3 linked regions of the Cricetulus griseus genome follow. The protein of the gene in region 1 interacts with the protein of each later gene in a biochemical or structural test. Links are inferred from orthologs where the notes say so. Each region holds a gene or a part of one and is shown in the gene's direction. Other genes may lie near its edges. The genes, in order: Npr3, Nppa and Nppb.

Evidence for each region.
Region 2: the proteins of Npr3 (region 1) and Nppa form a complex in vitro, tested with the Homo sapiens proteins (4 studies listed by BioGRID, with this or other methods). The link is inferred for Cricetulus griseus from reciprocal best matches to the Homo sapiens genes NPR3 and NPPA.
Region 3: the proteins of Npr3 (region 1) and Nppb form a complex in vitro, tested with the Homo sapiens proteins (4 studies listed by BioGRID, with this or other methods). The link is inferred for Cricetulus griseus from reciprocal best matches to the Homo sapiens genes NPR3 and NPPB.

Annotation. Positions count from the first base shown.
Region 1 is NC_048595.1:344,989,369-344,993,472, reverse strand, and holds the start of Npr3 (atrial natriuretic peptide receptor 3), read left to right. Parts: upstream 1-1,164; coding exon 1,165-1,918; intron 1,919-4,104. UniProt on the Homo sapiens protein: Receptor for the natriuretic peptide hormones, binding with similar affinities atrial natriuretic peptide NPPA/ANP, brain natriuretic peptide NPPB/BNP, and C-type natriuretic peptide NPPC/CNP.
Region 2 is NC_048595.1:8,467,194-8,471,099, reverse strand, and holds Nppa (natriuretic peptides A), read left to right. Parts: upstream 1-1,417; 5' UTR 1,418-1,986; coding exon 1,987-2,106; intron 2,107-2,205; coding exon 2,206-2,535; intron 2,536-2,993; coding exon 2,994-3,005; 3' UTR 3,006-3,291; downstream 3,292-3,906.
Region 3 is NC_048595.1:8,479,947-8,483,341, reverse strand, and holds Nppb (natriuretic peptides B), read left to right. Parts: upstream 1-1,441; 5' UTR 1,442-1,536; coding exon 1,537-1,662; intron 1,663-1,874; coding exon 1,875-2,097; intron 2,098-2,586; coding exon 2,587-2,603; 3' UTR 2,604-2,812; downstream 2,813-3,395.

The DNA of each region.
Region 1 (4,104 bases):
AGCCCGGAGAGGGGGACCCACGCCTAGTGGGGGAAGGACGGGTGCGGAAACCGCCCCGGCCAGATGGGCATACTAGGTCCGCAAATGAATCTTCTTCCTGCACTGGGACCTTGTTCCTTGTTCCCCGACCTTGCTCCGGGGACCTGTAAGGTCAGGTGCGGGACAGAACTGGGCGCATCCAGACAGAACCAGGCCGGAGCAAGAAAAGAGGTGAGAGCAAGTGAGACCTGTGGAATTTTGCACCGAAGCCACCAATTTGGAGACACCTCGCCCCCTTTTGCAGATTGTGTGTATGCGTGTGTGTTTGTGCATGTGTGCGCGCGCATTTCTTTCCTTTCAAACTTACATACATTTTTTTTTTTTTTTTTTTTTTAAAGCGGGGGCTAGAGTGAGCAGAGCCAACGAGAGGCGGGGACCTTAGAGTCGCGCTGCGCTGCGAGGGCTCCCGCGGGTGTAGACGTGGGCGGCTGCGGCTTTGGGCCAAAGCTGAGCACCGGCAAGGAGTGGGGCTTAGGGACCCGGCAACAGCGAGTAGGCCAGGGGTGCGGGGAGGAGCCCTGATGTAAGAATGTTAATGAGAGGCTCCCCCAGCCCAGCCCCCACCCTTCCCCACCCCACCCACCCCACCCGCTGCAGAGACAAGCCCGGCCTCGGCGCGCCATGTGTGGTAACGCGCTCCGCCGCTGCCACGCTATTTAAACGCCGGCTATGGATCCAGGAACCCGCGCGAATCAATGGGATCAAACGCGAAGGAGGTGCACCATCAATTACAAGCACCTGGACAAGTCTAACTTTTTTTTTTCTTTACAAATAACGCCTTCAAATGCAACCTTAGCAACGCCCAAATAAGAAGCCACCTCTGAGCCAAATAGCCTATGTGCAAAGGGAGGGAGAATATATATATTTATAATAAGTCTATACGTATATTACAGACGCACAGGTTTACATTCGGTGAACTTTTCTTTTTATCTTTGCTTTTATTTTTTTCTTTTGAAAACCTAGGGACACTGCAGAGGAGTCTTCCTCTCTCTTTTGGCGCGTTACTCAAGGGGGTATTCTGTTTACTCGGAGTGCCCAAGAGGGCGCAGGGACAGAGGAAAGAGGCAGGGTGGGCGGGGGGCAGAGGGCGAGCCGCGGCCAAGGCTAGGGCTTGCTGGCAACACGATGCGGTCCCTGCTGCTGCTTATTTTCTCGGCGTGCGTGCTGCTGGCCCGGGCGCTACTGGCTGGCGGCGCGAGTGGTGGAGGTAGGGACACCGGGCCAGGCAGCGGGCGCCGGCAGAGAGAGGCGCTGGCGGCTCAAAAGATCGAAGTGCTTGTGCTGTTGCCCCAGGACGATTCGTACTTGTTCTCGCTGGCCCGGGTGAAGCCGGCCATCGAGTACGCTTTGCGTAGTGTGGAGGGCAACGGCACCGGGAGGAGGCTACTGCCTCCGGGCACTCGCTTCCAGGTGGCTTACGAAGACTCGGACTGCGGCAACCGTGCGCTCTTCAGCCTGGTGGACCGCGTGGCGGCGGCGCGCGGCGCCAAGCCGGATCTTATCCTTGGGCCGGTGTGCGAGTACGCCGCAGCGCCGGTGGCCCGGCTGGCGTCGCACTGGGACCTGCCGATGCTGTCTGCAGGAGCGCTGGCCGCCGGCTTCCAGCACAAGGACACGGAATATTCTCACCTCACACGCGTAGCTCCTGCCTACGCCAAGATGGGCGAGATGATGCTCGCCCTGTTCCGCCACCACCACTGGAGCCGCGCTGCCCTGGTCTACAGCGACGACAAACTCGAGAGAAATTGCTACTTCACCCTCGAGGGGGTCCACGAGGTTTTTCAGGAGGAGGGTTTGCACACTTCTGCCTACAATTTCGACGAGACCAAAGAGTTGGACCTGGACGACATCGTGCACTACATCCAGAGCAGTGAGCGAGGTGAGTAAGGGCGCGATCTGGACGCTTGGCTCCCACCCAGAGGTTCTCGGTGGCTCCCCACAAGTCCCATCACCTCAGCCTTTTGCAGATCTCACCCTCTCCCGAAACCCGAACATCCCAAGAGGGTGCGCGCAGGGACTTGCTCAGGTGTGAGCTGCCTGACCTAGGGGCGGGTTGATGGTAGCCCATCGCTGTGCAAGGGGTGTGCCTAGGGAGTCCTGGGGGAAGTGGCTGGCCATTCGAGGGAACCTCTGAGGTCCCCAAGTATGTCAGTTGTTGCCAAACACCAAGAATTTTCCCTATCCGACAGCTCTGGGGTCCCTAGCGGTCCAGGAACTTACTCTGTCCATTGCCGTCGAGCTCCCCCCTGATAGGGTGACATCCAGCAGCAGAGCGCAGCTTCTTGACTACCTGGGGGTCTCCCGGCTACCCTGGCTGCTCTTTTCACAGACCCTAAGTCTCTTTTAAAGGCTCTTTGTGTTACTCTCCCATGCTCCCTCTAGTCTCATATAAACAAGCTTCTGTGGTTTCCACCGAAGTGCGTCGCGGTGTCTGGACTCAGGCGACACTCACTTCCCCCGGGTGCGTTGGGCTTCGCAGACTCTGAAAGAGCGCAGAGCTAAGCTTGGCCGGAGCGCGTGCGGGACGATCCTGCGTGGAGCCTCCTTCCCACTGGTCCCCTTCCCGGGCTTTTCTCCCCGAGTAGCTGAGGGCTTGAGACAATAGCCAAACTAGACAGAGAGCTCAGTACTGGGTGTTGTGACCTTGGTTAGAGGGAGCGTGTGAACCTCCCCCCACTCCCACAGCTGCCACGTTTCTGTCGTGAAGACAGCTGAAGGAGTCGGAATCCCCGCAGAGGGCAAGGAGTCGGGGTGTCCCGACTGGGGTTCACAACATTCCGGGAATCCCGCCTCTGCTTTCCCTTGGTGCGCAGGCGCCCAGAATGTCCGTGGTATTCCCCCTTTCCCCCCTCCTTGCAAAGCTTCCGACGCCCCGGGGTGCTGTTCGGTTGAGACCTAGGGAGACCGGAGCCAGCTAGGCACCCGACTTGTCTTCAACTTGAACGTCTGGGGCCTGCCTGTTTCGGGCCAGAGTAGCATGAAGCATGGAGATGCAGAACAGGTGAGGTGGGCAGAGCAAGCTTCCAGAGTGGTATCACCGCGGCCTCTCTCTCCAACTTGGCCACTCTGAACTGAAAGAGCATGCCCTGTAGAGCCAAGAGGTGTTGTAGACGGTGTGGACAGGACAAGTCTGACCATAAGAACTCCAGGCTGTCTGTGCAGAATCATTGTTAGGTGCTGAAGCAGGGCACTGGTTAAGTGAAAGGAAAGTTCTGCCCTATGTGGCAGATTGCCCCTGCTGGGTGAGAAACCCACATCTACTTTTCTCCCACTCTCAGTCATCAGGCTACTGCAGCCTCTTGTGGTCCTGGTAACTCCTTCAGCTCTGGGCTCCCCAAGATGGAGCTAAAACCTGTAGACTTCCTAGGACAGGCTGGAGATGGGGTGTGACCCCTCCTGGCTAGATCAGAGGTTTGCAAGCCTTATCATTGCCTTGTTGAACCCAGTGAGACATTGACCTTGGCACAGTGGCCTGGGATGAGAGGCCTGGCAGATCTGTCTGTCCTGCTGTGTGGCCCTGTGCACTGTGCTCCGGAGCCCTGGTGCTGGGAGGGTCAGAGTGTGGTAGAGGGCCCAGGGATTGGTGCGGCCTGGTTTAAAAGGACTCCAGCTTGCATGCGGCCCATGCTATTATTTTTAAATACACCACGTTTGGAGGTATACCCAGATCTCTTTGCTTTTATTTACCGTCCATTTTAATGGTGAATGTTTGCTAGACCGGTGTGTGTATCTTATAGGTGATAAGGTTATAATCGTACTATTCTTTCTCTAAAATCTGTCTCTAACAGTGAGTGATATGGCAGATTTTCCAAAATACAAATAAAAATAGTTTCTTTTCCAGGCTGACCTCCTCTCAATTTCCTACTCTTTGTAGAGAAAGTGTAAGTTCTCAGGGTGTTTCCTGTAGATTTGAACCTTTACTTCGGAGGGGGCGTCACGGGGTTTAGTGTATGCTTTCAGTGGAGTTTGTGGCTCAGCCACATGCTAGCTGGCAGGATCCTGGGCTGTTAAACTGTACCCCATGCTCTTCAGGCAGGTAAAGCCGGCTTCTGCAACAGCCACATC
Region 2 (3,906 bases), about 340 Mb from region 1:
GACTGAGAGGGTGATGGGCTCCTCCACTTGTCAGACACAGAGCACACACTGTGGAACATGGTGACACAGAGACGTGGAGAGCACTCGGAGCGTCCTCCATCCCTGCCCCTTAATGGAACCCTGAGAACACAGAAACTCAGTGGATGGCACTTATGTCCTCTCCAGTTCCACTCTTGAAAATTGACTTTGACCAAAGGAGATGGGCGGGCCTTGAGATTGCCCTCCTGGAGCATGACTGCTCAGAACGTCACCTCTCCTAGGGCCACCTCTGCGCTTCAGATATGGCACAGGACAGAAAAGTGGCAGAAGGCCTCAGAGCCATTTCTCAAGTCTGTGCCTGATTCAAAGGCCATCAATCTCCAGGAGACAGGCCATGTGGCACACACCGCAGGGGACCTGAGTCCCCCAGTAGGGATGCTTTGCTGAGTCCTCTTTGCTCATAATTCACAGCCACACACTTAAGCATTGAGGGCATCCCAGGGACTCATCCGGAGGCGACAGAGTTTGGACCCAGAGTTCCCACAAAGACTTGCACTGATTTCATATTTCAAGTAGAGATCGGCTAGCCCAAATTGGTTGCCTGCAGCCCCCAGCTTTCTCAAAGGGCTCTCTCTCTCTCTCTCTCTTTCTCCTGTTTTAGAGAACATCACCACAGACACCTCTTGTGACCTCCAGCCATTGTGGTCACATGACAACTTCAGCAGGCAGCCACAGCCTGAGGACGGAACTAGCCATCCTGAAAACAGCTATCTGGGCCCTGAATGGCGGGAGTGGATTAGAATGTGTGGGAATGGAATTCGGGTCTGCTGCAGCCCGTAAGTGAACAGAAAGGAGAAAACACACGCTTGTCAGACAGCAAAGCTTGCGCAGTGTTGAGTGTGGTGACACTGAAGTCTCGAGAGCATTCAGTGACTGCCATGCTCCTGCAGATGCCAGAGGAGTCAAGACTTTGATGGCTCACTTCCTTGGCCTTGGAGGTCGCGAAGAATGTTATGGAGAACTGTGTGCCCTCCCTTCCATCACCTCCCTTCTTCCCTCTAATTCCCTGGGAAGCTGGGACCATTTTACACTTTGTACTCAGACTCAGAGCTTTTGAAAACAGCAAGGCCAAGAAAGAGAAGCGGAGGCATTCTTCAAGCCTGTCTGTCCCCTTGCACCTTGGACCAAGTCTTGGGAGACAAGAACAATGGGCTTCAGAGGAAATACGCTCTATCGTCCCTTGGTGTTTATACTTGTAGCTGAATTCTTAGGGCCTGTATCATGCTGGCTTCCTGGCTGACTTCACACTCTAAAATAAAATAACTCTTTCACCTGACTGCTAACACGCATATCTAGGGTGGGGGTGGGCTGTCGGGGGCCAGAGGTCCACCCACGAGGCTGATGAATCAGGTGTGAAGCCAGCTCCAGCATGTGCACTCCCTAGCTGGTCTAGCTGGCCTCCCAGCTGCCTGTCATTTCCTCCCCTCCCACCCTTATTTGGAGCCCCTGACAGCTGAGCTGCAAGCAGGGGGAGCTGGGTGCAGGCCAGCCGTCACCCTCTGCTTCCCTGCATGGGTCCCGTTGCCAGGGAGAAAGAATCCTGAGGCGCGCGCCCGGGGAGATAACCAAGGACTCTTCTGCTCTTCTCACACCTTTGAAGTGGGGGCCTCTTGAGGCAAATCAGCAAGAATGTGACTCTTGCAGACGAGGGTCTCGGGGAGGGGGGCTACTGGAGCTGCTCAAGGAGAAGGGGCCGTGACAAGCTCTGCTGGGCTGATAACTTTAAAAGGACATCTTCTGCTGGCTCCTCACTCCATCGCTTTATCGCTGCAAGTGACAGAATGGGGAGGGTTCCAGCCCTCCTGCGTTCTCAGAGAGCTGGGGGGCTATAAAAACGGGAGGCACTGGGCAGCTGGGAGACAGTGACGGGCAAAGGCTGAGAGAGAGAAGCCGGAGAGGAGTGAGCAGAGACAGCAAGCTTCAGATCGTGCCCCAACCCTCGCCAGCATGGGCTCCTTCTCCATCGCCATGGGCTTCTTCCTGCTCCTGGCCTTTTGGCTTCCAGGCCATATTGGAGCGAACCCTGTGTACAGTGCAGTGTCCAACACAGATCTGATGGATTTCAAGGTAGGGCCAGGAAGTGGGGCACAGACTGGGTCTCTTTGGTGCTGAGTGCATTCCTCTAAGACATCCCCCTTCCCCGGCACTTATTTTTCCTTTGTAAAGAACCTGCTAGACCATCTGGAGGAGAAGATGCCATTAGAAGATGAGGTCGTGCCCCCTCAGGCCCTGAGTGAGCAGAACGATGAGGCACCGGGGGCAGTGCTCAACTCCCTCCCTGAGGTGCCTCCCTGGACTGGGGAGGTCAACCCACCGCAGAGAGAAGGCAGTACCCTTGGGCGCAGCTCCTGGGAGCCCTCCGATAGATCTGCTCTCTTGAAAAGCAAACTGAGGGCTCTGCTGGCTGCCCCTCGGAGCCTACGGAGGTCCAGCTGCTTCGGGGGTAGGATCGACAGGATTGGGGCCCAGAGCGGACTAGGGTGCAACAGCTTCCGGGTAAGAGGAACTGTGGATGGAAATGGCATGGAGGTTGGGTGGGAGAGCAAACTCAATACTTCGAGGGAGTATCTTTGGCAGCAGAGAGACCAGTGCAAGTGTTTATTCCTTCTGAGAGTTCTGCCCCACTATGTGGATGTTCCAGAAGTCTCAAGACCATGCCAACAGCTGCTACAGCCTCTGAGCACCAGCTGGGAAGTTAGAATAAAGGCAAAGTCACCTTTGCGCTGCTGATGGGCAGTTAGTGTTCTTCCCACAATTGTAAGAGCCTGGCATATTTCAATGAAATGGACTAAATCTGCCTGCCTTAACGTTTATGGGTTACTTGTTTGCCAGTTTATGACAGGGGACCATTGGGCTGGACTGTGGCTGGTGGGAAATAGGGGATCACTGGCCAAGTTGAATGTTTTAGTACAGTAAAGCCAGATCATCAAACCAATATATTTTTCTCTTTGTAGTACCGAAGATAACAGCCAGGGAGGAAAAGCAGCCAGATTTGCTGGGGCAGATTGCAGAAGACCCTAAGCCCCTATGGTGTGTCATGCAGCTTGGTCTCATCGTCACTGAGGTGTGGCGAACACCCTGCTGGAGCTGCTGCTTCCTGTCTTCATCTATCACGACTGATGCTAAATGTAGATGGGTGGTTTCAATGGGGCTCTCCCTCTCCCACCCTGCATATTAAGGTAGATCCTCACCCCTTTCGGAAAGCAGTTGGAAATAATTTTTTTTGAATAAACTTCAGCACCAAGGACAGAAGCCGAGGTCTGGGTGCTTCTTTCACTTTTGGCCCTCATTCCCCGGTGTCCCCCACCTTACCCTTTGCTGTCATTTCCCCCTTCCTGACTCTTCTTGGTGAGTGTGTGTGTGTGTGGGGGGGGGCTCAAGACACAGTGCTCTGCCACTCACTCCAGCCCCAGTCACAGATGGCGGAAAAGTCCACCCAGACTGAAAGGTCATTTATTTCCAACTCATCTTTTCCTGGCGGCAGGTACTGACGCTTGTGCTCAGCTGACAATTCCTTGCACCCCTCTCACTTTTTGATTACAGCTTGGGTGATTTTAAGGAGCATTTAGAGAACCAGGGACTGTCCAGATCTTCTGTTACCTGAGCACCAGCTGCTGCAGCCATGTGAATTACACTTTCAGTTTGGATAAGAGTGGAGGGTGGGTTACATAGTGGGGAGCAGTGAAGGACGGTTTCCAGGCTGAGTGGCAAGTTCAAATGCTTTGTGAATGACCACACCGACTGGTGCATCTCTTCCTATTTATCTATCTCACCAACGCATCCCTACCTATCCACCTATCTCACTAATGCATCCCTACCTATCTTACCGCTGTCATCAATCTGTGCCAGAGATCAAACTCAGAGCCA
Region 3 (3,395 bases), about 340 Mb from region 1:
ATAGCTGTCTTCAAATGTGACTGGTTTTGGAGTCATGAGCTGCTGCTGCTCTTTCTTTCTTTCTTTCTTTCTTTCTTTCTTTCTTTCTTCCTTCCTTCCTTCCTTCCTTCCTTCCTTCCTCTCTTTCTTTCTTTCCTCCTCCTCCTCCTCCTCCTCCTCTCCTCCTCCTCCTCCTCCTCCTTCTCCTCCTCCTCTTCCTCCTCCTTCTCCAGGCTGTCCTGGAACTCACTCTGTAGACCAGACTGGCCTCAAACTCACAGAGATCTGCCTGCCTTTGCCTCCTGAGTGCTGGGATTAAAGGTGTGCACCACCACCTCCTGGCAAGTCATGAGCTTCTAACTATCCCTTTTTCCCATCTGTGCCATAACCCACTGCTACTCCTGGTCACTGTCCTTCACCACGCTGACACTTGTTAACACAGATTCTGCGGATGGGGTGGTGACATTGGTCACACATGTTTGGGAGGTATGTATCCCAGGGCCTTTTCCCCTCAGAATCTCATCTCTCATCTGAGATGGGAGGCTGGTGTGTTAGGGAGAAGTCACTCATGGGTGATCTGATAAGAACACTGGGGAGAGGCCCTTCCCACACCTCTAGTGTCTAAGCACCCTTTCTCTTCCACTCATGGTGGGGGAGGAGACTCTGGCACCTGGAGATGCCCCCAGAAGGCATTCCTACATGACCTCATCTCTGGGCCAGGCTCTCAAAATTCTATCCTAATCAGTTCTCCTCATTAAGGGACAGAGAGAGGGTCGGAATTCCAGAAGTTCTTTGTCATATCCCAGTTTTTAATCAGTTGACACTAGAGAGTGAGCATCCTTGGGCAAAAAGTTTCACAAGGTTTTGGGGGGTGTGAGAGACCCTTCTGGCCTGGAAATGGGTTGAGGAGAGAGTGGCAGAGTTTGTGTGACGTTCACTTGTGGAGATCAGAACCACGGACAGCTACTAGGGTGCCGGGAAGCGGTGCAGTCCAGCGGTCCAGCCCAGCGGTCCAGCCAGGTGCTCGGAAGCCGGGCAGGGCCTAGATTACAGGTTCTGAGGACACTCTCTCGGGGAAGCTGGTGATGGTGGGTGTTGCCAGGGAGTGTTTTCAATGAGTCACCCCATAAGCCCCACACTCGGCTGCAGGCGAGGGAAGCTGGGGTTCTTCTCCATGCCATCTCCAGTAGGGGTGGGGCAGGATGTTAAAGACACTCAGACGATTACATGAAAGGAGGGAGCATGTTAGTGTCCCCCGCACACTCCTACCCTAGCCCAGCCCATTTCTATACAAGGCCCGCTCTCCACAGCCTCCACCCACAACGAATACCCCACACAGGCACAGAGGGGGGAATTCTCAGGCCCTGAGCTCAGCAGGCAGGAATGTGGCTGATAAATTAGAGATAACCCCACCCCCTACTCCATGAGAGGGCTGGCCGGACACCCAGCTCCAGGATAAAAGGCAGAAGCACCGTGGCTGAAGACGCCAGAACACAAGCTGCTTGAGGAGGTGGAACAAGGCACCGCCACAGCAGCCTGGTCCATCACTTCTACGACATGGATCTCCAGAAGGTGCTGTCCCGGATGGTTCTGTTCCTGCTTTTTCTTTATCTGTCACCGCTGGGAAGTCACTCCCACCCCCTGGGCAGTCCCAGCCAGTCTCCGGAGCAATCCAAGATGCAGGTGAGCGCTGAGGGGCTGCATAGACGGATGGGGTCTGCCTGAAGGGTTTGGGCAGCGGCAAAGAAAAGACCTCATGTCCTTTGGGAATTAGCCTTGTGAGACTCGGGAAGCAGCAAGATTGAGTACCAGGACTCTTAACCAATGGGCACCATGGAGGAAAGGGAGAGCCAGGAGTGTGTTTCTGAGGCCTGGGTTCCCCACTCTCATCACAGACACTGCTGAACCTGCTGAGGGAAAAGGCAGAGGCGGTGGCTCGGGGGCAGCTCCTGAAGGACCAAGGCGTCACAAAAGCACCTCCCCAAAGCACCCTTGGGTCTCAAGACAGCACCCTCCAGGTCCTACAGAAACTTCAAAACTCCAAGAAGATGCATAATTCGGGCTGCTTTGGGCAGAGGATAGACCGGATCGGCTCAGTCAGTCGTCTGGGCTGCAACGGTGAGCTTCTGCCTTGCCACTTCCCTGCAAGCTGTGCCCCCACCCCATCCCCACACATGGCATGCCACCAGCAGAAGTCCCTAGGTCTGCTATCCGGCATACTTGCATAGCTCTCCACCTTGCTGACGGTCTTCAGGACCAGGCAACCTGTCAGGAAATGTCACATGGGTGCTTCGTTACATCCTCACAAGTCACCACCTCCTACCTTCCATCAGAGGGGTCAAATGCACCTCGGGGTGCAGACTGCCTGTTGTTTGACCACCCCTTCATAGAGGAAAGAGCATTTCCTCTCTGTTTTCTCCACACTGAATTGTCAAAGGCAAAGGGCACAACGGACCCACTTTACAGTAGAAACTGAGGCCCAGTGAGATTGCTTTTTCCAAAGCCGTAAACTTCAACATCCTTTGGGGACTGCAGGTGGAGGGCAGCTCAGCCCTTGCCTCAGTTTCACCCCCAAGTCTGACATCTCCCTGTCTCTTTTCCCCATAGTGCTGAAGCGGTATTAGGATGAGCTCCCAGTTGCAGACACCGCCCGGCTCCTGACTCCACCAAGGGCTCCTTCCCCAACCCTGGGACCCCCTTTTGAAGTGATCCTATTTATTTATTTATTTATTTTTATTTATTTGGTTGTTTTCTACAAGACTGTTTCTTACCTTTGAGCACAAACTTTTCACAATGTAATAAACACGGCATTATTTCTTGCTTTTGAAAATGATTTGTCTCTCTGTGTTTCAATCAGTCTCTTGTCTTTTTCAGTTTGTGGGGTTTTTTGTTGTTGTTGTTTTGTTTGTTTGTTTATTTTTTGATATGGGGTCTCTCTTCATAGACTCTGCTGTCCTGGAATTCACTCTGTAGACCAGGCTGGCCTTGAACTCATAGAAATCTGCCTGTCTCCTTAAAGGCATGCCACTATGCCTGACTCTAGTCACTCATCTTAACAAGGAAAGAAGCAAGCCCCACAAAATATGTTTCCCGCAAGGTCCCAGGGCATCTTAATGGTGGAAGAAAGACAGCCCAAGGGCTGGGCCAGTGAGGTGTCTGAGCTTTCCTTTCCCTCCCAGTTTTTAACATTGTGAGGTGCCAATCCACACCAGAAACACCTGAGACTCCTCACAGAATCTGTTCTTCAAAGTGTGTGTTTGATTCCGGGGTGCAGAGCAATAAGAGGAGGGGATCATAGCATTCGCGCCCCCCCCCCCCCCGCCTGGAACTCCATCATCAAACACTCTGACTAATCTAGGAAACCCAACAAGGATGTCAGGGATGAAGGCTGTGTGTGTGTGTGTGTGTGTGTGTGT